Rhinolophus ferrumequinum: one gene and its partners. The main gene of each other region encodes a partner of the protein of the gene in region 2 in a complex. Links are inferred from orthologs where the notes say so. Each region holds a gene or a part of one and is shown on either strand. Other genes may lie near its edges.

Region 1 (7,956 bases), on a different chromosome or scaffold from region 2:
TAGGTTCTGCACTTTTTATTCTCTCGGTGTCAATATTAAAAGTAGCCCACACATTTCCAGGCACGTCGATTAAATTAGGGATTTTTTTTCCCCTCTGGGATTCTTCCTCTTCTATATCAAGAATAGGGTATAAGGAACATAAAAGATCAAGTTCAGTTTACTTAGGAAATTCTAAGGTGAGGTCTCCCTTGGAGACAAAAATGTATTAGCCCTTTGAATTTAGAAAGATCTCTACCTGATATATACAGATCACAGCAGAAAGGAGTGGTTTTCAGTGAGAGGACCCAGAGTATTTGTACTGGCTGAGATCAGAACTCTCTGAATTTTATTAGATACCACCACTATGGAAACTTCTTTTTCACTCCAAGGAATTGGCTATCCTGTAAGAATGGGGTTTAAAGTAGAGAGTGTAGCTCTGATATCTGTCAGAATTTGGCAGTTTCTCATTCATTTTCATTTTAGTTTTCCCTTGACTGTGTAAGGGAATTACTGGCCGCAGTTTACCAAGAGCCTCTTGGAGTCCTGTCAGCTCTCAAAGGGACCCCTGTGGGGCCTCCCCTGGGGGCCGACATGGAGCATTTGAGTTGACATGAAAGAATTTGCCCAAGACATTTGAGGATAATCTTTTATCCAGTATCCCCATTGATTACGAAAGGGACCCTGACCTCGGGGGGGCCAGCATTTTGGCGATGGACCCCTAGGTGGGTGCAACCTGGCAGCCCAGGTGTTCGTTCAGTTGTCTGGCTGTGAAGCTGTGCAGCTAAGCGGCTAACAGCTGAGCAGACTTTTGTTTATGGTCTTGTTCCAAAGTCCTTTCCAAGTATTCAGCTGTGGTTACAAGTTCAGTCATCCTGGTGGCCTCCCAACCTATTTTTGCCTTTTTATCAATCCATTAATATAAGGAGATAATCCATTTATAGTCAAGAGCAGGCTGGCTGACATCGTTTATGTAAGGGACTCAGAGCGCTGAAGGAGGAGAGCCTTGGAAAGCCCTTAGGTCAGCCAAAGTCCCCTTCCTTTTATTTGCCTGTCTGAATGATACACCAGTCATTGTGGACAGAGAAGAGTCCAGAATCTCTTAGAAGCTCAGCGGCTGTATTGCAAGCTTTCCTGGTACTTAAGGGAGACCAGGGACCACGTGCATAAGATGGTAAAGACCTGGCAGCCCAGGGTCACAGGCCCCGATAAAGACTCCCAATTCTTCGGGAAACTTTGGGGGACCATCCCTGGGTTTAGAAAATTCTTTAACCATAGTTCTTTGACCACAGGCCCTTATTCTTTAACCACAGGCCCTCAGTTTGGTGTTTGATCAAGGAGTGAAAGATACCTGGAGAGGGGTCACCTGCAGTCTCGGTCGTCTTATTTTAGTAGGCAGCTGTTTAGTGGTCTCTTCTGAGGGGAAAGGCAGTTCAGAGGGAGGATGAGGACTCGGGTACAGGATAGAGGGGGTGGCACGAGGCACGTCTGTCTTATGGTCTTTGGTTTAGGTGCCTCTTGTGTCTTTAATTTTTCATTAGCCTTTTGTAACAGATTCTTCAGTGAAGCTACTTTGGGGCTGTTGAAGGCTTCTGGAAGCTTCTGCACACCCATTAAAATAGATATCCCATTCTCTTGGTTTGATTTGGGATCCCTTGCTTTCAAGGCACTTCTTAGTGAACGATCTTGATTAACTGGGACATTCCCTGTAATGGCCATTGTAATTCTAGGTTGTCTTTAGAAAGATTTTGCCATTTTTGTAGGTGTTTGTAGCTCCTGGGACCATAGTTAAAATAAGTAAAGGCGCCTGATGGTGGCACACTCCACTCTTTGGAACGTAAGGATTCCATTTTAGCTCAGCTTGGGTTTCTTGTAGCCAGTTTAACACCTAAGAGGGATGTGTTCCTGGGCTGGGGACTGTGTGATGTATACCTCACGGCATGAAAATTTTCCTGTGGTCGGGTTGTGATCTGTGTCGATCTAACTCGTTGTGTGACCAACTTATGCCAACTCGGAGTCTTAGAGTTAAGTGATGAACGCTCTAACAGCTTTTATGCACTTGAGCGGTGCCGACCCATTTTTGCCTTTGAGCTTATGTGATTCCCATTATCAATAGACTTCACCACATGTGCACACTGCATCAACACGCCAGCAGTAATCAGAGAGACGTCACTGCGACTGGCCAAGGAATGGCCTTCGGTATATGCCACCAGCAGTTCCCAACATGGAGCTGTGGACTGAAACCGCCGACCCCAACAAATGGGGACTTTGGGTGAACCAAGGGCTAGGGACTAGGGTTCTGGTGGGACCATCTGCCAGCTCAGGCTGATCCACAAAGCCCTGGACTGGGACATGGGCTAACCAAGGGCTGGGGACTGGCACTCTGTCAGGGCCCTCTGTCAGTCCAGACTGACCCGTGAATCCCGGACTGGAAAGCCAACTAGACTGGGAGCCCACACAAAGAGAGTGGAGCTGTTACCGAGAGGAACTTACCCACAGCACTCGGAAGTGGCAAGAAAGACAGAGAACTCCAAGGGATCAGGGATACTAGTGCCTGTGTTTCTTGTCCCTGAAGCCATCAGAAGTTTCCTTCGGATTCTACCACTGCCACCAAATCTGTTAAAAAACAAAATTCAACTCAGTAAATTATAAAGGTCTTATTGGCTTTATTCAGCAATTCATGAATCGGGCAACATCCCATCTAGCAGACAGAAAGAAGCCCAGAGGAGCTGGACAAATGAAAGGCATTTTAGGCAGAAGGGGGCGGGATAAGGAAGTTACACTGGCAAGGTCACCTTCCCTTAGGGGGTGGCGGGGGTTGGGGGCGTCTATCAGGCAGACGACCTCACGACTGCTGAGCCGGTCATTCCAGACAGATTGGTTCAAGGCTCCATTTCTGGGTGAGGTTGAAACCATAATTAAGTTAGGTATTAAACCTTGGTTTGGAGATGTGGGGTGGAGCACGTGTGACTCCATTTTGGGCCTATTGTCTCTTTTATAACACTGTCAAGACAATTTGAGCAAACCGATGAGGATGGATGACTAACCCCCACCCCTACCCACACACACAGCCTACCAGTTGCAACTGCTGAAATGAAAATAGAGACAGTGGAATCAAGATTAGAGAAATAGAGGGCTTGTTCCATTGGTACTTAGTGGATGGAGTTAACACTGCACACGCTTGTTGGTTGTGAGCAGCTTTCTACAGTTGGGGAGGGAGAGTCCTGGGGTTGTTACACTGCTGTCGAGTTCTCCCCTGTAACACCCCCAGGAGGCGGTGCGTGGTAGGGGTGAAGGCTGTGCGCCTGGATTGGGTTGCTTAGCATCCTAACCCAGGCTCGTCCACTTCTGGCGGAGGCTCTCGGCTAACTACTTGACCTTGGTTCTCACATTGGCGTAAGTTGGACTCTTCCAGGGAGCTGGAAAAGTCCCAATATCTGGATGCCACCCCCAGAGGTTCAGACTGAGCTGATCTGGGGTGTGACCCGGGCATCAGGGTTTTAACCTAACCTTGTTAAGCCTCATTTCTTCCCCTGAAAAAGGATTTGTACTAACCTGCCCTGGAGGTTGTGAGAGTAAATGAGGAAACGCACGGAAGAGCTTGGCACAGTAACGGCTGAGCCGGTGTGTCCGTATGTCTGTGTCTTTCTGTTTTTCTAGCTATAGTATTGTTATTGCTGCTGCTTTTTTAATCTGGAAAATTCTGAATCTAGTTATCTTAATAAGACGTTAGCATTTATGCTCTGCCTGATTAATTCACTCAACCGCCTCATTCAAGAACAACAGAGCTGGTGAGCTGGTCGACTGCAGAAGGTGAGGACGACACTGAGGTTTTGTCTCCTCTCCAGCCTCAGTTTCTCCTTCGGTAAATGAGGGTGTGAGACAGGGTGTCTTTGAGAGTCCTTTCAACACGAAAGCTCTGGAAGTTTATTTTGCTGTGATAGCACATAAATGGCACAGCGGTAGTTACATAAGACCTGGCTAGACTGCTGAAAAAAAGGTGTGAGATGGTGAACGACGACACTTTGCAGGAGACGCCTGAAATTCCACGTCATTGTGTGTACATGTCTGCGTGTGTGTGTGTGTGTGTGTGTGTGTGTGTGTGTGTGTGTGAGATTTCCCCTCTGTGTATGCACACCTTGGAAATTCACTTGTCTGGGTGATGCAAAAAGACTAGAAACTTACGAGTATAATGGCTGAAATCGTTTTGTAAGTGCCCTTATATTTCCCATCCTTGCCAATTTTAAGCAGTTAGTCCAAAGAGGACAACTTTTAAAAGATTTACATCTATAATGTGATGGGGGAGAAAACTTTATTGAGAATCCAGAGAGCTTTTGCTTATGAGGGCTATATTTACTGGTACTTTATTTCAGATGGGGATTTTTAAACCTGTCTCTCAATTCATTAAATATAACAAGAATAAACCCATTACATGTTAATATAATTACCCATTTTTATGAAAAATAGCCCTGTTTTTAAAAGTTCCATTTAGTTTGAAGAGTGGCACTGTCTCTGGTTCTCTTGAATGGACAGTTTACTGTCCTGCTTTGTTAATTAACGTAACAGTAGAATGTTATGGTTTTAAAGGCCCCCACCACTGGTAACACCAGATCAGAACTCCTTTGTCAGTTCTGCAGTTACAGAAGAGAAGTGGTAGTTACCGTGTTTCCCCGAAAATAAGTTCTAACCAGAAAATAAGCCCTAGCATGATTTTTTGGGGTGACATCCCCTGAACATAAGCCCTAATACGTCTTTTGGAACAAAAATTAATATAAGACCCGGTCTTATTTTCGGGGAAACACAGGATGAACGGAGGCGTCAAGAACAAGGAATTATATTTATCAAACTAAATGCAGACATTCTTTTTTCCACTCGAGTTCTAGAAGGTCTGTGTGACTTCAGGCAGTTTCTACCCGATTCTGATAAGTATATTCCCCACTAATTAATGCCATTTTAATTTTTAAGGTCAACATGATCAACAGCTTCCAACAAGAGAATGATGATCTTACCAATCAAACACAGGCGGGTTTGGAAGTCAGTTTCTTAATAAATCAAGTGAGACTACGCTTTGCTTAGAGACTGGATTGCAATTCCACGTTTTTTAGTGCCCTGTCGATGTTTGGTTGGCAGGAAACGAATTAGTAACTAGACGTGGGCTTTTAGAATCTTGAGGGACTGCCCGAGAACTGCAGATGGTGCTTTGATGTCTAATTACAGGATGAGCAATCTGCGAGCATCAAAAATCAGCCCAGAGGTTTATCCACGCCATTTGCTCCTTTACGGAATAAAAATACAGTGGACTTAATATTTCTAGCGGGTGGGTGTGGGGCAGCAAACCAACCACCATCCTCACACCACCTTAGGACCATTTCCTCCCTGTTGTTCTTGTGATAAACTCACTTTCTAGCTAAGTTATTATTTCTTTTAAATGTACATTTTTCTGGATAGAAATGAATGTGGCTATGAACCAGGTTCAATTGTAATAGACGGCAACTGTACAGTACATATATAAATAGAATACAGACAAAGCCACCCTGTTAACGTCTGTCTATATTCTCTTGCCTGACAAATCTCTGAGCCCAATGTCTGAGTCTGTCTCTTTCTGCCTCTGTTACAAGGGAGATTGGTAGACAGAGAGGCGTTACCTATCCAGCACTGAATGGAGACGTTCTCATCAATGATTTCAGGAAGACGGAGACATAGAGAGGGAATAACTCTCTCATTCATTCAACAGCTATTTGCATGTCTACCACAGGACAGGCGTAAGCACATAATAAGTACTGCTCGTTAATGCTCTGTCTGCACAGCCCCTAAAATTACTTCATGAACCATGTAAAACCATTGGGTGGCAGATGCCCCTCCATGCAGAAACGACCAGAGTTATTACGAGAACAGGCACTTGGAATTTCTCAGCATTGAAGGCTGTTGTGAGAATGAGAAAGAGAATTCCTCCCAAGGGCTAGCCCAGTGCCGGCAAGCATCACCACCCACCTCCTTCTCACCACTGTCACCATCATTTGCAGGGAGAGAGCCACCAGTCTCTGCGGCGATCCAAGAGACGATGGATTATCAGCACCTTGGAACTGGAGGAGGAAGACACAGGACCCTTCCCCAAGTTTGTTGGGGAGGTAAGACAGCTATGCTTACGGCACGGCCCCCATCACCCTCTCTGACTAGGCAGGGCCCCTCCGGAGAGGACGAAGTCTTGACAGGCTGCGTGCTGGTGAGGCCAGGGAGTGAAGCGGTGGGAGAGGCCCTGGGCTGGGGCTCGCGTCGTGACGGTGGGCAAGCCACTTCTCCGGGCGAGTGTCACCGAGAGAATCAGAATCGTCTGTGGCAACACGATGGCTATTTCCAGGCTGCAGCCCTCTTTTATTTGGCCCATGCAGTCATTTTTTAAAAATTCATTATTCAAAAATAAGGAGATTGTAGTCCCTAGAGGCGGGGGGTGGGGGCAAAAGGGATAGTAAAATAAAAAAGAAAGTAAAACAGTAGGTGCCGGGGGTGGGGTGGGGATGAGGTGCTGGGGAGTCAATGTTTAAATGGTACAGAGTTTCCGTTTTACAAGATGAAAAGTGTTCTGAGACGGAGGGTGGTGATGGTCGCACAACAATGAGATGGTCCAACAATGAGAATGGACAGAATGCCACTGAACTGCACGCTTACAAATGGGGAAGAAGGTAAATTGAATGTTATGTGTATTTTACAATTAAAAATGGAAAAGAAGAGATTGTATTATAATTCTACACTTCTGGAGACTTTCTAAAAATTGGAAGCTCTGCCCACACGGAGCCTGCATTCTCACACAGCAAGGAGGAGATGGGGCCTGGCTTACCCAGGACGTCCCACTGTCTCCCTCGCTCGGACGCTGAGTACCAGCTGAAGCACCAGAGAAGACACTCGGTGATGTTGGAATGCTGGAATTTTCACACCTGCCCCATGCAGGTCCTTTTCGTTCCCTTCCTGACCCCAATGGGCCTTTGAATTATGTACTGAGTCCCCTACAGCTCTGACATTCTCTGATTCCTAGAAAACACTGAAACATCATACATATTTTTGCCATGTTTATAAAAATAGTATATGCCTACTATTAGAAAGAAAACATCTACAGGAAGTCTTCAAAGCTCAGGGGTTAGAAGTATAAACTCCCCGCGTCAGGGGGACTGCATGGGTTCGAATCCCAGACGTAGCACACCCTTCCCACGTGGGAGCCCCAACCTGCTCCCCACCAGTGGCACCCTTGAGAGTGCTGGCATCACAGGGTTGTTTCACAGGTTCAGCAGGTGACGGCAAGAAGCCCCACGGCAAACTGGCTCACTCAGCTTTCTAAAGGTTTGCTGTGTGCCTCACGCCTCTCGACCTGGACGGAAGGATCCCCTGTATTAACAATCAGTACATATTCCTGCAGACACTTCTCTCCATTTACTGACGTGAATCTGTTAACAGAACGGGACTATACGATGCACACCGACCTTCAGGTCGCCTCTCCTGCTTCCCCACGTGTCATACCCGTTTTTACGGCCGTTCACATACACCCTGAAAAGCTGCCAAGTCCCATTCTAGGTGACAGGGTACTGTTACACGACTTGTTCCATACGGGTAGACATTTATGTTGTTTCTCATTTTCACCATTAAAAGCCAACTTGCCACCATATTCCCTGTTCCTGCATCTTTGTATATCCATTTATTTCTTTAGGATAAATCCTCAGACGTGCAATTGCTGAGTCTGGTTCTTCAAAAACGCCTTTGAATCTGAGCCTTGATATTGGACGTGCATAGTGTTTTTTTTCTCATCCTCATCTTCGTTTTTTTCTCCTTGCAGCTGTTCAATCATATGTCTGAAAACACGTCAATGTATTTCATCAGTGGACCTGGTGTGGATGAATACCCAGAGATTGGTTTATTTTCTATAGAAGATCATATGAATGGAAAAATATATGTGCACCGCCCTGTTGATCGAGAGAAAACGCCATCTTTTAT
Region 2 (7,217 bases):
GTGAGCACTGGGATGGTTTCTTCCCTTTTGTGACCAGCAGCCTAACAGAGCCCGGTTTCTCTCTCCGTAGCCCTTTCTGGTTCCAGAAAACCTCAAGAGCTTCCCATCAAGTTACCAAGGCAACTGCAGCCCAGCAAGATTCACAGTGATGAGGGAAAGAGAGCAGAGACTGACAGCAGCCCCAGGACAGGCTGCCAAGGTGGGGGCACACATCTCAGGGTGAGCAGGGAGGCAGAAGCTTCGGGCCAGAGCAAACATCCCCTGCCTCCCCGTCCAGCCTGTTCCAGCATCTGTTTTCCTGCAGTTTTTGTGTTTACACAGCCTGGGTAGATGAGAAGACAGCATCAAAGCTTCCCTCACTGTCAGGTGGGGATGAGGGGTGCTTCTCCCACAGTTTCCCAGAATGGCAGATGTCACGGCTACTACCTTGAAAGGTAATGGGGCCCCGCCCATGGGCACCCTGCTTTTTTGGTTTGTTTTTGGTTTTTTATCTTTTTTTATTTTTTGTTATTTCGTTTGTTTGTTTACAAGCACCCTGCTTTTAAAAGCCAACGGAACTCTCTTCCATAACCACCCGCTGTCTCCATGATGGCCCCTTGGGAGGCAGTGTTGCTAAGGGATCCTGAGCACAGGCTGCTTTGGAATCAGAGAGAAGTGGGTTCGGCTCCTGCTTGGTCACTTTCTAAGACTGTGACCTTGGGCAAGTCACTTCTCTCTCCACCTCAGTTTCCTTAGCTGAAAATGGGGATGATATAATGAATTCCCAGGACTTCATAATATACACATAATGTGATTGCTCATGGATCAGTTTTTAAAAAAATAAAGCTGTTAAAATTTTATCATCATTATTACGATTTTAATTGTTATTGTCATTAAGTGTGTACCTCAGTTTACTCATCTGTAAAATAGGGATCATGATTTAATGGGTTGTTTAAAGATTATACAAGATAAAGCATGTGAAATGCTTAGACCAACCCCTTACCGTAGAAAGTGCTCAGAATAGGAGCTGTTATTATTATGATTTCTATATCCCGCTTCTCACCACAGGCCGTCAGATTCCGTATCAGGGAGCCATCACTGAGCTAGTCCAAACTCCTAGTTCCCTAAGCAGGAGGGGCTATGAAAATGAGGCTTCTGGGATGGTAGTGGGTGGGTGGGTGGGTGGGTAGGTGGGTGGGTGAGGAGTGGTCATTTCTAACACCTGTGCCAGTAAATTTCCAACTCACTTCTAGATCAGGAATGAGCCTGTGACTTCTGCCTTCCCTCACTTCCGTCTCAGGAGCCTGAGGTTCCCTTAGCAGGATGATGTCCCACTAACGCCCAGCACACTGGAGAAAAGGGGTAAACAGTCATTTAGAATGGAAAAGGTTTTGTCCCTACACAGAGGGCCAGACGCCAGGCTCGGGGAGGCAACACAAGAGATTGGATGAGAGGACCACATAGGCGGGGCCACAGTGACTCTGAAAGGTCTTTTCTTGGTCCAGCTGAGGCCTTATTTGCATAAGGAGACCTCAGATATGGCTGACCAACTACAGACTGCTCCCAAAGCCTCACCGTCTTCCTTCTTGAAAACACCAACATTCCGCCAGGGCCCAGTCACACTTCTGACCTTTGAGAACCATGAATAGCCTGCTCTGGGACGCAGACCTTTCCACATATCTGTGCCTCACTGGTCCAGTCACACCCGAATTGCACAGGTGGGTGTCCCAGGGGTCTCCAGTATGTGCCACAAGCTAAAGGGTGGGCTAAAACTGCAGCTGGAAGAACTTAGGGGAAACCTCGGGGAAAATGCCCTAGTTGAAAGAGCTGGGAGACACCTAACCTCTACAGCCCTAGAGACCTTGAAAGGTCATGACTCAGTGGGGGTGGGCTGGGGCTGTCAGGACCCTGAAAACACTGAGGGAGAGGAGGCAGTTCTCATGCCAGACCTGGCCAGGGCCCCCAACACTGTCCTTATCGTTCCCTTCCTCTAACCCTCCTCCTCCATAGTCTGGAAGACCTGCTGCCTTAATGTTCAAAGTAACCCTGAGGCCCTACAGAGCTGGACTTTAGGGAGAACCAGTGACTCTGGGCTCTGATGTCAGAAACCAGGTTCGAGGATAACTTGGACTTGTCCTCCCCCAGAATAAATGCAGAAACTTGGGCCTGTGCCCTCAGCTCTGCTGGCAATAAGCCTTTGTCTCCAGTCCAGAGAACCCAGCCTCCCCACTAGCACCCTGGCCTGGACTCTCCCCATTCTGTGAACAGACAGGACATGGAGGTACCAGAGCCAAAGGCCAGGCGTTTCTTCTGGGCACTGCATGCAGGCATCTTACCCTCCCTGTGCCCGTAAATCAATGCCCACACAGGCTCTGTCACTGGGAAGGAGGAATTCCTGAGGGTCGGTGCTTCAGCATGACTGGGTGGAGATGAGGACATCTGAGGGAGACAACTGGCAAGAAAACAGAAGTGGGGCCTTGAAAACAGCTGCTGCCCAGAAAGCCCTGGCTGTGTCAGCTACAGGTCAGGAAAGGACCACGTGTGTACCACCGACCTGCTCAGCACTCCATGCCTCACCTCATCCCCATCTGACTCGCAGACGAGTCCAGGAACAGTCACAGAGGACTGCGTCAGATCAGGGAGAAAGAAAAAGCCCCCCACCCCCACCCCAATTGTGAAGAACCTAGTGGGCAAGGCATGGGCCATAGCCACACAGATTCAACTGGAAGTCATTCTGAAGAAAATTCAGCGCCCCAAAGATAGCCAAACCAGGGTCAGCTGCTGGGGCTGGCAAGGGGCCAGGAGTTACCACTGGCCCCATCTGGCACTGGCCATGGAGCCTGGATGGAGACCTGCCCTACTAGCTGATCTCCCAGAGGCAGAAGTCAGGTTCCTTCTAGCCTGAGGAATCAGGGACGAGTCAGAAAAGCCAGTTTTCTCTCAAGTCTCTGTCTCTGCCTGCTGGAAAAAGATTGCTTCCAGCTCTCAAAGGGTCTGCCCTGCTTACCCTCAGATTGACACGTGGACAGGCAAAATTTCCAGTGCTCTCAGAGTCCAGGCTGCAGACAGCAGTCCTGAATCTTCTCCTGGGATGACTCACGAGTGCCCCCTGCTGTCTGGTTTCGCTGAAGCCCGTCGTGGGGGGAAGAAAGGAAGGAGTGTTAAACGCAGATTCCAGTTGCCCCAGCAAAAGGGGACACGCGTTAGGCTGCCCGCTTTATACACTGCCAGAGCCTAATCAGAGCTGAACTTCCCCAGGGGTCACCGAGGAGGGGAATGTCTAGAGAGCAATCCATCTGGGAGGACAACGCATGAGGGCCCTGCAGCCTGGCCTCCGGGCACCAGCCCGAGCTCTGATGAGGGCTCTCCAGGCTGCATAGGTCCCTGGCTTCAGGAGAAGTTATGTTCTGCGTAGCAAAATCCCTGCCTCCTCTGAGCCTCGAGAGAAGAGGCTGTTCCACATTCAGAGAATCATCTCAGTGAGTGTGCAGTGGGGGCTCTGCAGCCTTGTGAGCAAAGGAGAGACCCCACTTCTCCCCAGAACTCCCCCAGGTGCCAGTGGGACACCTCCAAAACTCCCACTGATGATACAGATTATAAGAGACAATAATAGCTGTTTGCAAAAGGACCTCTGGCTCCCTGTCTGCAGGTCCGTCAGGTCTCTTTAGCTCCAACAGTCTATGAGCCTATAGGATTCCACAGCCGGTCCTAGTGGTCGGCTTCTCTCCTCGCCACCCACTACTCCCCACTCCTAGTTCTTTCTTTCATCTGATTTAAATCCATCTTGTTACATGCTGAACAATGGCAGCTAGTAGAAAGGGTCTTTGTCCAACACTTCCTATTTTCAAGTTCAGAGAGAGAGAGAAGAGACAGGACACTGAGAAACCAAGGGAAGAGGAAGAAGCAAGAATGAAGAATAGAGAGATAACCAAATATTAGGTTGGTGCAAAAGTAATTGCGGTTTTTGCAATTATTTTTAACCTTTTAAACCGCAATTACTTTTGCACCAACCTAATAAAATCCAAATAAACATCTGAGGAAAACCATCTGACTGGCTGGAGAGGTGGGGAACAAGCCTCCGCAGTCTCTCGTCATGTTCCGTCTAATCATTTCATAGCTGTATGTCTGTGCTCGCATTCAATGTAGGAGTGAGGGCACACACACACACACACACACACACACACACACACACACAGATTGTGGGGAAGGCCTGTCTGTGGGGGCGGGGGGGCAGCAGTCCTCTCTTAACCCAGACAGTTCTGCCCCCCACCTGCATGATTATCTTCCCTGCTCACATCCCCCCACCTCCCAGCCTCCACGCTTTACAGCACTAGGTCCGTGTGCTTTCAAAAGAGCTCCTCCCTGAGTGCCACCTTCAGGAAGTGCTGCGCTGCTCCAATGAGGAGATGAAAGGGAAGAGCGCTAGTCCTCTTCTCTCCAGAGCACTACCCCATCAAACAGCCCCCCTGCCCCTCTTTCATCACTGCCAACAAAAGCTGCAAAAGCAGCCCTCCTCACCCTGAGCAGTGGCCTGCAGGGGGTGGGGTCAGCAGGATTCCCAGCAATGCCAACACCCTCTGCCTCCCTTCCCTCCACAACTGAAAAACAAACAGGAAAGCCCTCCCGGCCCATCCCTAAGGCCACTTTGCAGTCACCCCAGGTTCCCAAAATCCCTACCCAAGCTGCCCCTAACCCTGCCCTCCCAAGGGAGCCTATATTTCTCAGACCTTGGAAGTCACTCCAGGATATCTCACCCTGAAAGACAAATCTGCTCTTGGAATGCAAGGAGACAGTGATGAATTTGCCCACACTCTAGCAAGCTACTTCCATTAACTCCTATGTCCAAATAATTTCTTTAAAACACCAAGGATGAGGTTGGGGGAGGGGAAGGCAAGTCCGTGACATCAATCTTCCATGGGGATTCCTCCTTCAAACCTGGCCAGGTCTGGGCAGGAGAAAAGCCCTGCACACACACAACACACCTACTCTGGGGGCTTCTGGGACAAAGCAGTGGAAATGAGACCTCACCTGCTCACCTCCACCTGCAGCCTCACAGTGCCTCCTCTGACCTAAGTTATTTTCCACTCACCCCCCCTTGGGTCCCTGGATATGGGCTCACAGAGATATGGGCTCACACACCCCTTCCTGGGTGTTTCAGGGCTCTGGCTGCTCCTGGGCAGGGTGGAGCTGCCTTGGGGGGGCACCCTGTCCCCTCAGGCAGACAAGAGCAGCTCCTATTTGACCAGCATCCAAGGGGACCCAAAGGGAGAGGGCATGAGAAGGAAAACGAAGATCTGTACTGCAGTTCCAGGTTTACTCATTCCTTCTCAAATTACCCTACTTAACACTTCATTTTACAGATGAGGAAGTGGAGACTCAGAAGGTTCAACTTGGACTGGACTTGCCCAAAACAACCAGCTAGAAAAGGGACAGATCTGCGTCAAGCATGGGTCTCCTACGTCTAAAGTCTACTTCAGGGAGATGACTTTCTGGTAGGCAAGGGGGCCCGGAAGCAGGTGACATTTCAGTCGCTAAGTGTGCCCACCTATGCTTGGCTTTGGAATACTAAATCATGAACGCAAGCCTACAGTTCTAGCCCCTGCCCTGCTTACACTGTCTGCTTCCAAGCCAGCCTCCAGCTGGAAGGTTTGTACATCTTGGGGATGGGCCAGCTGGGGCCCAGAAGGCAGAAGGGACAGAGAAGGGAAATTCTGGCATTTCTCCAGGGCTCAGGAGCACGAAAGGGGATGACAGCTGGGCAGACGGGCTTGAGCAGGCCATGTGGGAAGGCTGGGCTGCGGGAAACTATGGGCACAAATGGCCTGGCTGAAACAGGGCTTTGCCCAGTTGGCCACCTAGCACTTCTCCCTTCCTCCATTCTCCCTGTCTCTCTGCAAATTGCCTGCTTCAAATGTGATTCTTTCCAAATGAGCCCCACACCTCCCAGGAAGGGCCTGGCACGTGGAGCGATGCTGTGGACTGATTACTGACATCCTAGCCTTCTTCTAGCAGCAGCAGGCTGGGGAGCTGGTGGCCCAGACCACAACAGGAGCAGCTTAGGATGTCCTGTTCCAGCAAATTGGAGAAGGTTCCCCATGGCTCAGATCTGAGGTTGAGGAGCCAAGATGGACAATGAAGGAAAGAGGAGGCCCCCAAACTCTTGCCAACCAGCAGCTTGTTGGTGGCCCGGAATACAGGTGCCCATATGGGCTCTCCCTGACTGGAAGGAGAAAAGTCAGCTTTGTCTAGTGCTGTGAGTTTGATGGCTGTTGAGGCTCAGTGCTGAGGTCCCCATTAGAGGTACTCAACGTGTCTCAGGCCCTGGAGTTCCCAGAAATGAGGGGAGTGGGAGCATGAACCAGTCACTGGCATTTGCTGGATCCTTCCATGCCTTTTAATAGCAGAAACTCCTCTCCTCTCTCAAATGTTTTGTGGGGAGAGGCGGGTATCTTTACCTCCCAGCATCTTGTAGATCTGCCAGTAGTTTGAGTTATCTAGTAGGACCAAAAGCATCATGAGATGTCAAGAGGGGCAAGAGACAAATACTTCAAGATTGGATTCAGGGCATAGCCTCCTCTCTGAGAATATTACCTGGTTACCCTTAAATGAGGGCACCCCACATACTCCATGTGTAGATCAAAGCCACAGAACCCGAAGTCTTCCAGGGCAGCTGCAGAAGTAGCAGCCAACAGAGAACCAGAGAGGCTTACAGCTCAACAGTCCTCAGGGATCCCCTAGATTCCAGGCCAAAGGCGCTCACCACCTGTTTGGTGACAGAATAAAGTGTAGGTTTGGGATTTTGCAAGGGGAAGCAGGTGATGTGGGAGAAAGACTCTCACGCATTGAGAGGTGCTCAATAAATGCTGCGTGAGGGTCACTGGTACAGGAATGTTCTCCCAAAGGAACCCTCTGTCCTCTGATGTGAGGAGAGAGCAGGCTAGAGTAGGAGTGGGGGGGGGAGGGGGGGAAGAGGGGTGTCTTGCTATTTCACCAAAGGTGATCAGGTGGCCTACTCGGGTGTCTCTACCAAAATGAAGGTAGGAGGACAAGTTACCATGAGATGGGCCTCCTAACCTGGATGAGTCATTCTCAGGACACCTCTGAGCCTATCTGGGCCCTGACCTTTGTCTAGATGCTTCCTCTCCAGCGGAGGCTTAGAAGCTGCTGCAGACACTCACAACCCCACTCTTCACAGCACTGGCACTAAGGAACCTGATTAGCAGAGCCCCATGCCAGGC
Region 3 (7,305 bases), on a different chromosome or scaffold from region 2:
AAAAATTTCTTCTCACTCCATAACCATAACCAGTCACTCGTGATTTCCTTGTCTCCCAGTCCCTGGAAACCACAGATCTGCTTTCTGTCTCTATGATTTGCTTGTTCTGGATATTTCATATAAATGGAATCATACAATATATTTTTTAAAAATTTTCTTCTCCTAGGTATTTATTGTTTTAGTCTGTTTTGGAAGTAAATTCATCACAGCTCAGCACTCTGCCCTATATAATAATCTTAATATTTCTTTTTTAAACACAATTTTATTTTCCAGCTCTTCCTTAATCTTTCACCATTTAATGGTTTCTTGTTTCTCTTTGTTTGTAAGTGGTGATGACTGTGGATAGGGAAGTTAAACTTTGAGAGTGGTAAAACTAACAACTGAATGTAATATTCAATGCATAATAAACAAAACAAAACAAAAAAGGAAGGAAAAAAAACCCAAACCAAAAGCAGTGCTGTGTCTCTAAACATATCCTCAATCCATTGACCTCTCTCCATTTTTACTGCTGCTACTGTAGTGAACTCCATGTCACTGTCACTTGACCTTCAAACTAATTTCCTTGCTTTCACTTTGTTCCGTCTTTAATCCATTTGTCACATTAGTAGCCAGATCTTTTCAAAATATGAGTTAGATCATGTCATTCTGCTGTTTAAAACTCTCACAGGCTTTTCTCTACCTAATAAAAACTCCTTTCTCTAACCTATGGAAAGAACCCTTCATATTCGGATTCCTGTCTATCCCTCCCTCATTTCCAACAGCTCTGCTGGATTCAGTGTATTTCAGCCCCACACTTGAGAGCTCTGACATTAGTAGTTACCATTGCTCATATCTTCTCATTGTTGGCCACTTCTTATCATTCAGATTTCAACTTAAATGTCACCTCCCCAGAGAGTTTGTCCCTATGTCCAATCTAGAACAAACCATGAGTCATTCTCATCAGTCTGTTTTAAATCTCTGCATAGTCCTCCATCTGAAATCTTATTTATTAAGCTTCTCTGTTCCCCTGCTAGAAAGTAACTTTTTGAGAGCAAGAGACTTGTCTGTCTCATAATTCTTGACATTTACTAGAAGAGTACCTGGCTCACAGTAGGTGCTCAAAATAACCCAAGTGGAACTAGTCTTTTTATTTTCTATTAACTGATTGTAAACAGTTTTCCCCTAATGAATATTAATCCTCGTGATGCTTTATTTGGAGATAGCTGTTTCAGATAAATTTAATTTTTAACAATTTTTCACCACTGAGCTTTCTTTTTTTATTTGTATATGATTTTATTTTTAATGTTATCTACAAATTCATTAATGTTAAATGATTCCTCCAGGATTACATAACTAGTAAGCCAAGAGACTTCATTCACTCATTCATCTGTTGTGAAATATGAGAGATAAGGCTGAGCTGGGTGCACTTAAAATGCAGGCCGGCTTGGACGTACACACATCAGGGGGTGGCTTGGAACGACTCAGTCTGATCTTTCTGGGCAATAGTCCCTCATCCACAGAGGGGTACAAGTTGGTGGGGGAGGGCACCGTAGGACCAAGGACAGGGTCACTCGCACTCTCTTCAGGTCCCTGACTGTGGCTTGACGGTGAAGAGCTTTTTTCCTGTGGAGGTGGGCAGGCTCTGGCCTTCCTCTTGAGCACAAGAGTGTCAGACAAGTTCTCTGCGTTCTGTCGGTTGCACCTCTCCTGGGACGCCTCCTCCCCCGACGACTTCAACCTCACTGCCCCGAGAGGACAGGGAGTCTGGGTAACAGGCAGTGGCGTTCGAGGGCGGCGGCTGGATGCCACCACCCTGGCAGAGATCGGTGCAGCGCTTGGAGGTTGTAAGCACTCCCGGTTCAGTCTTCTGCACTGAGGGGCCTTCACCAACTTCCCACCCTCTAGCTGAAGGGATTCTAGCTCAGATACTCGGAGCTGACGGGCTCATCCTGGGCTTCTTCTCGAGATACTTCCATCTCTGAGGTATACAAGAAATCTACCAGCTCTGGGGATACACTATTACTAGAAAGACACTGTTCATGCCTTCATAGAGCTTATCTTCTGATGGAGGAGACAGGCACACACACACACACGGAAGGCAAAATACTTGCAAGTTGTTAGTGGTGATGTGAGGGAAGCAAGACCAATCCATTTCTAGAAAATCATAGAATTTTTAGAATATGGCTCTGATCTAGGAACCAACCAGTCAACAAACATTTCTTGTACTGATTGTTTTCCTTCGGCAATCATCTTTGGCTTTTGAATTTGTTATGGAGGAGCAGGAATAGATGGAACGTAGAGGTAGAAGATGTGATAAGGAAATACGGGAAGATTCGTAGATAATGAAAGGCTGTTCATTTCTCTGTTGAATGTATTCGTTTCCCATTCTAGTTCATTTAAAGCCCATCAAACAACTGCTGTGATGCCTGTTTGGTCTTCCTGCACTTCTGAGAGAAGTCCTTTTTGGCCACTTTAGACTAATGGAGTCTGTGGGACTATAGACCAAATATGAGGGGGTGGATAATGACTAGATCTGCCTGATTAGAAAATCACATTCATGCTGAGGAGGAGTGGAATTGGAATTCCAGTTTGGATAATAAGGAAAGGTCAGATTATGGTTAATAAGTGTTACTTTAGTATACTGAATGAATAAATGTGGCTCCTTGAAAGCAGATGAGGATCTTAGCCTTTATCCTGATCACAGTGTAAGATGATGGAAAGAACGTGGACTTTGGAGTCAGATTGCTGAGGGCTTTACTTCTTAGCCAGATTTCAGGCAAGTTTCTTACCCTTGCTGAGTGAGCCTTGATTTCCTCATCTGGAAAATGGTGGTCATAGTATTCTATGGTGGTGTTTTAGAAGTTACAGCTAATGAGTGCAAAGTGCCTCTCACGTGATAGATTCTCCATCATTGGTTGCTATTATTGGGCAATGATGAGCCAATGAAACTTTTCTGGGCAGGTTAGATACTGATAATAATAACAGCTCATTCTTAGTGAGTTTGTACTGTGCCATACATTGTTTAAAGAACTTTATGTGTATTTTAATGCTCACAACAGTCCTGTGAGAGAGAGATAGTTATTATCTTCATTTTATAGTTAAGGAAACTGAGGCACATAGAGAAGATATAATTTGTCCAAGGTCACATAGTAAGTGTAGAGAGGAGGAAGGTTTGAAGCCAGGTAGTCTGCCTGCAGAACCTATACTCTTAACCACTATTCTAGATTATGAAAACTTTATGAAGATTCATCAGCAGTCTACAGGATAGATTTTAGATTTTTCAGTAAGATAGGAAAAGGAAAATTTCAATTTATTACCATCATCGTTTAGTAACTACTGAATGACCATAAAATACTAGTCTTTGTTAAGTTTGTAAAAAAAAAAAAAAATCCAGTCTCTGATCTTCATGACCTAACAGTATAGAACATACTAAGATAACTCTTTACTCAGAAGAATACCTGTATAATCCTTAATTTAGGTCAAGTGTAAAAAGAGAATGTATGAACTAGATTATCTTAAACTTGAAGTTCACAATGCAGGCGAATATTCTTGATGTGAGACTGACTTTTCCTTACACATGCTGTTATCGCCTCTAAATGTATTGCTTGTTTATTGGATTCCATTTATCCTTCCCCTCAAACCGATATTATTTTAATTTGGGGCAAAAGGGAAGACAGTGATTGGCCTTAACTGCCCAGTGGATTCAGCTTCCTTCTAGTTGAAAGTATAGACGCTAAGAACTGTTAACAAGTGCAGACCTTTATTTTTTCTAATTAGCTCTAATGCAATTAAACCAAAACAATGAAATTGAGAGTTTACCTCAGATATCTCCTACCATCCCAATCAACACGTAATAATCCTGTTTTTTAGGATTTTTCTCTCCCACCCTTCCTGTCTTCCTTTGGGAGAATGCTTTGGGGTAGAAAGCAACAAACCAAATAGCAGCAGGCATATAAAATCAGCTCTTTTCTCTTTCTCCACCCGGAAGGGAAGGGAGAGGGAGCAAGAACACCACCATCAAAGGGAACTGATTCTTAGGCAGGCCATTCTAAAACTCCCTTGTTCTTCTACCCCCCCGCCCCCACCAGAGCTCTGCAGTAATTCTTCAGAGATTGTATGGTCTCTACTTTAAATATAAATATATATATAAAACTTCCCCCTGTCTGTCTCCTCCTCTCTCTCCTTCCCCCCCATTTCCTATAATAAAGTTTCCTATTGGATAAAATCAGCTCCCTGATTTATGCCTGGCTCCTATTGGAAGTTCTCAGGGGCTGACATCACTTAGGAAAGCGAGGGGGTAGGGCTGCCAGATCAGTTTGTCACCACCCAGGCTCCCTATCCTTTGGCTGGGTGCAACTTCCATTTTAGGTGTTGGAGCTGAGAGAAAAAAAAAAAAGAGGGAGAGAGAGAAAGAAGACCAGGAAAGATCCTGAAAGGAGGAAGAGGCCGTGAAAAATCACCTACCTTGCTGGATTTGTCTTTCTCACCACATTGACGAAGCCTTGGGTTTCTTTCTTAAAGGACTGGTTTTTAGAAGTCCACATCTGAGGTGTGTGCCTTTTTAAAAAATGTGTACAGACGGGTAAAGGAGGATACGCCAAGTCGAATTTTTGTCTTACGGTAACCTGAGGAAATTTAAAGACGAGAGTCTGCTATGTTAATGGGTGACTTTTAAGCAATTATTAATTTATTTTTCTACTTACTTTGGGGAATTGTATTATATTAAAAAAAGGTAAAATATTCAAGACCCAGAAACAAACTTCTAGGTCTCTCTAATAGAGGGCGATGAATAGATTCAGAAGGGTGAGAGCAATTCTGTAAATTTACAATTTGGTGTGTTCTTTGATTTTATATCTTTTTCTGGATTAAGCTAACAAACTTCTGTTTTCAGAGCCTAAACCAAAGGTTGGTTTTTTTTTGGCATGTTGCGTGTGGGTTGGGAAAGGAATTTGTCCGGGTCGGAAGCTAGTTATACATATGGCTCTTCATATGTTTCAAAACTTTTTTTTTCATCTTTTATCATTAGATTTGTGGAAGCGAAAAGTTGCAGGGAGTTTTGTAGCTTAAATGGTGGTGTTCCCCCCCTAGAGTTTGAACGGCCCAGATCGGTTTCAGCCCTGCTGTCCTGGGTGGATCCCTCTTTTACTTTTCCAGGTGTGGTGGGTGGGAGCCTCATCCTCCTGCTAGACGTTGCCTCCCTGCTTTGCCTTATAAGAGAAAACAGATGGATCCATGTTAAATGAATTGTTATCTCCTTTTCTTCTAAAAACTACCTTCGATGGCAAGATGTGTTGTTGGATGTTCAATCTGCAAATATGAAAGTGTTTGGTTTATGTGCTTAAAGGCATAAGGAAATTGTAATCATGCTTTTTAGTTCACCTAAGTGGCAATACACCTGAAAATATTTTCAGCTTTGTGCTCTCTTAAAGGGCCATGGATTAAATAAGGTTAGGCTAAGAGAAAACACTTATATAAACTTTAGTGTTCAGAATGAATTTGAGAAAGCACAAGGGGAGTTCTTATTTTAAAACAAACAGTTCTTTTTTGGAGGTGAGTTTTTTGTTTGCTATAAAATCAAAAATCTGTTAAGAGCTGAAGGCCCATGACTGCTTTCATATTTTACATTTAATCTTAAGATTTGTTTTTGCAAATGCATTCTTGCAAAAATACTGATTCTAGATAATTACATAGCCAACTCATCAGTAGCTGAAAACTGGGTGTTCTCTTCCTTCTCCCTTTGAAAATGCGAATCAGTCTGAAAATTATAGCTGGATTAGATACTGCCCTAATTGTAACAAGATGGGCCTTAATATGTAAACTGCTCATTAGCTTTAAACTGGAATCTACCTATAATCTCTGATTTTGTGCCCCTTCTAAACCCAGTTTTTAGACGAGAACACTTCCTTGAATTTCTTTTCTAGAACTGAGATTATTTCTTGAAAGATGATTTCATACTTGTAAGTTTGTGGCTTCACAGGAAACTAAACTAATATAATCTATGCAAGGGCTACAGTAAGATTTTAATACCTGGATCTCATAATTATAGCAAGTGCAGTTAAAAAGGAAGAAAAAAAGCCAATGTGTACAGTCTGTTGGGTTATAGTTCTTATTTAATATTTTCCAGTTTTTCTTTCAAATGTTCTCTCTGCCTTGACTCCAGCCTAGAGAGGTTTCTTGGTGGATCTTTGAAGGGTTGGTCATGTTGCTGCCAGAGTGTCGGTTTCCTACTCAACCTTTAGGGGGAGGGATGAGGGAATCTGAAGAAGGAGTACAAAGGCAGTTTGAAAATAGGTTCTGGATGACTGAGTGGTGGTGCTTTGGGTCCAGCTTTAAATATTGGGCTTTGTGTAGCCGCAGTAAGTATCCTAGTTAACTATCAGCCAGGACTATTTCCCCGAACTGAGGCATTGTTTTGACTGGTATGTACCATAGAGCCTTTTGCATGATAAGATGGAAGATTGTCTTTTACCTCACCTCTACCAGTTCTTTCAGGAAATATAGTCAGGGATGCGAATAAGTACATCCTTTTATTTTTTTTGTTTCGCTCCTCCTTTTGGTTTTGGGGTAAAAAATGACTAGTAAGTATGAGTTGTGCAGATTTTTCTTTCCTTGTTTGACTCCTGTATACTGTTGGTTTCTTTGTTATATGACTAAGGTATGTACGGTCTGTGTTCCAGGTGGGGGTCTCTTGTGGGTGGTTAGAGTTCTAGTGCCTTTCTTAGGGTTCCAGTTACAGAGAGTCAGAAGGGCTAGAACATGTTCTTTCAGGTAGTATAAAAATTGGTACTATTGGAAATCTTAGGAAAAAAACGAAAAGCTCCAAGTAATTGCAATTCACTTAGGTTTATGAGGTAGCTGCTCCCTAAGGATGGCTGCAAATAAATTAAGCATAGATCACTATTCATTTGGAATAACAAAATGATTAGCTCTGTATAATTTATTGCTTTCTATTTTGATACTTGATGGCCCCGTTACTAACTGCCAGGCCCTCCCCACCTTGTTTTTTTACTGCTTAGCATTTTTTATGCTTAGCCTTTTGCATAAACCATTTATTTAATTTCCCACAACAACTGTTGTTGTTTTTTTTTGTTTGTTTGTTTTAAAGGAATTTGAGCCTCATAGAAGCTGAGGTTTGCTGAAAATCTCATTGCCCATAAGGGACCAAGGCTAGGCTTAAACCCTGGTCTGACTAACTACAAAGTCCACGGACTTAACCACTAATACCCTGCCATTCTCCAGAGAGAATAGAAAAAAGATCCAGAACTAAAATGAGCCCTTGCTAGAGGCCAGAGTGCTTTATCTTGCAGAGGGTCAGTCCTCACTTAG

Evidence for each region. Proteins that work in one complex are often made in the same cells at the same time.
Region 1: CTNNA1 (region 2) and CDH26 share a complex: the UniProt entries of both Homo sapiens proteins name them as parts of the cadherin:catenin adhesion complex. The link is inferred for Rhinolophus ferrumequinum from reciprocal best matches to the Homo sapiens genes CTNNA1 and CDH26.
Region 3: CTNNA1 (region 2) and CTNND1 share a complex: the UniProt entries of both Homo sapiens proteins name them as parts of the cadherin:catenin adhesion complex. The link is inferred for Rhinolophus ferrumequinum from reciprocal best matches to the Homo sapiens genes CTNNA1 and CTNND1.

What each region holds. Positions count from the first base shown.
Region 1 is NC_046306.1:2,668,154-2,676,109, reverse strand, and holds the start of CDH26 (cadherin-like protein 26), read left to right. Parts: upstream 1-4,941; 5' UTR 4,942-4,947; coding exon 4,948-5,031; intron 5,032-5,999; coding exon 6,000-6,104; intron 6,105-7,798; coding exon 7,799-7,956. UniProt on the Homo sapiens protein: Cadherins are calcium-dependent cell adhesion proteins. They preferentially interact with themselves in a homophilic manner in connecting cells; cadherins may thus contribute to the sorting of heterogeneous cell types.
Region 2 is NC_046307.1:13,646,100-13,653,316, reverse strand, and holds the start of CTNNA1 (catenin alpha-1), read right to left. Parts: upstream 3,006-7,217; 5' UTR 2,987-3,005; intron 1-2,986. UniProt on the Homo sapiens protein: Associates with the cytoplasmic domain of a variety of cadherins. The association of catenins to cadherins produces a complex which is linked to the actin filament network, and which seems to be of primary importance for cadherins cell-adhesion properties.
Region 3 is NC_046294.1:11,450,619-11,457,923, reverse strand, and holds the start of CTNND1 (catenin delta-1), read left to right. Parts: upstream 1-4,290; 5' UTR 4,291-4,528; intron 4,529-7,305. UniProt on the Homo sapiens protein: Key regulator of cell-cell adhesion that associates with and regulates the cell adhesion properties of both C-, E- and N-cadherins, being critical for their surface stability.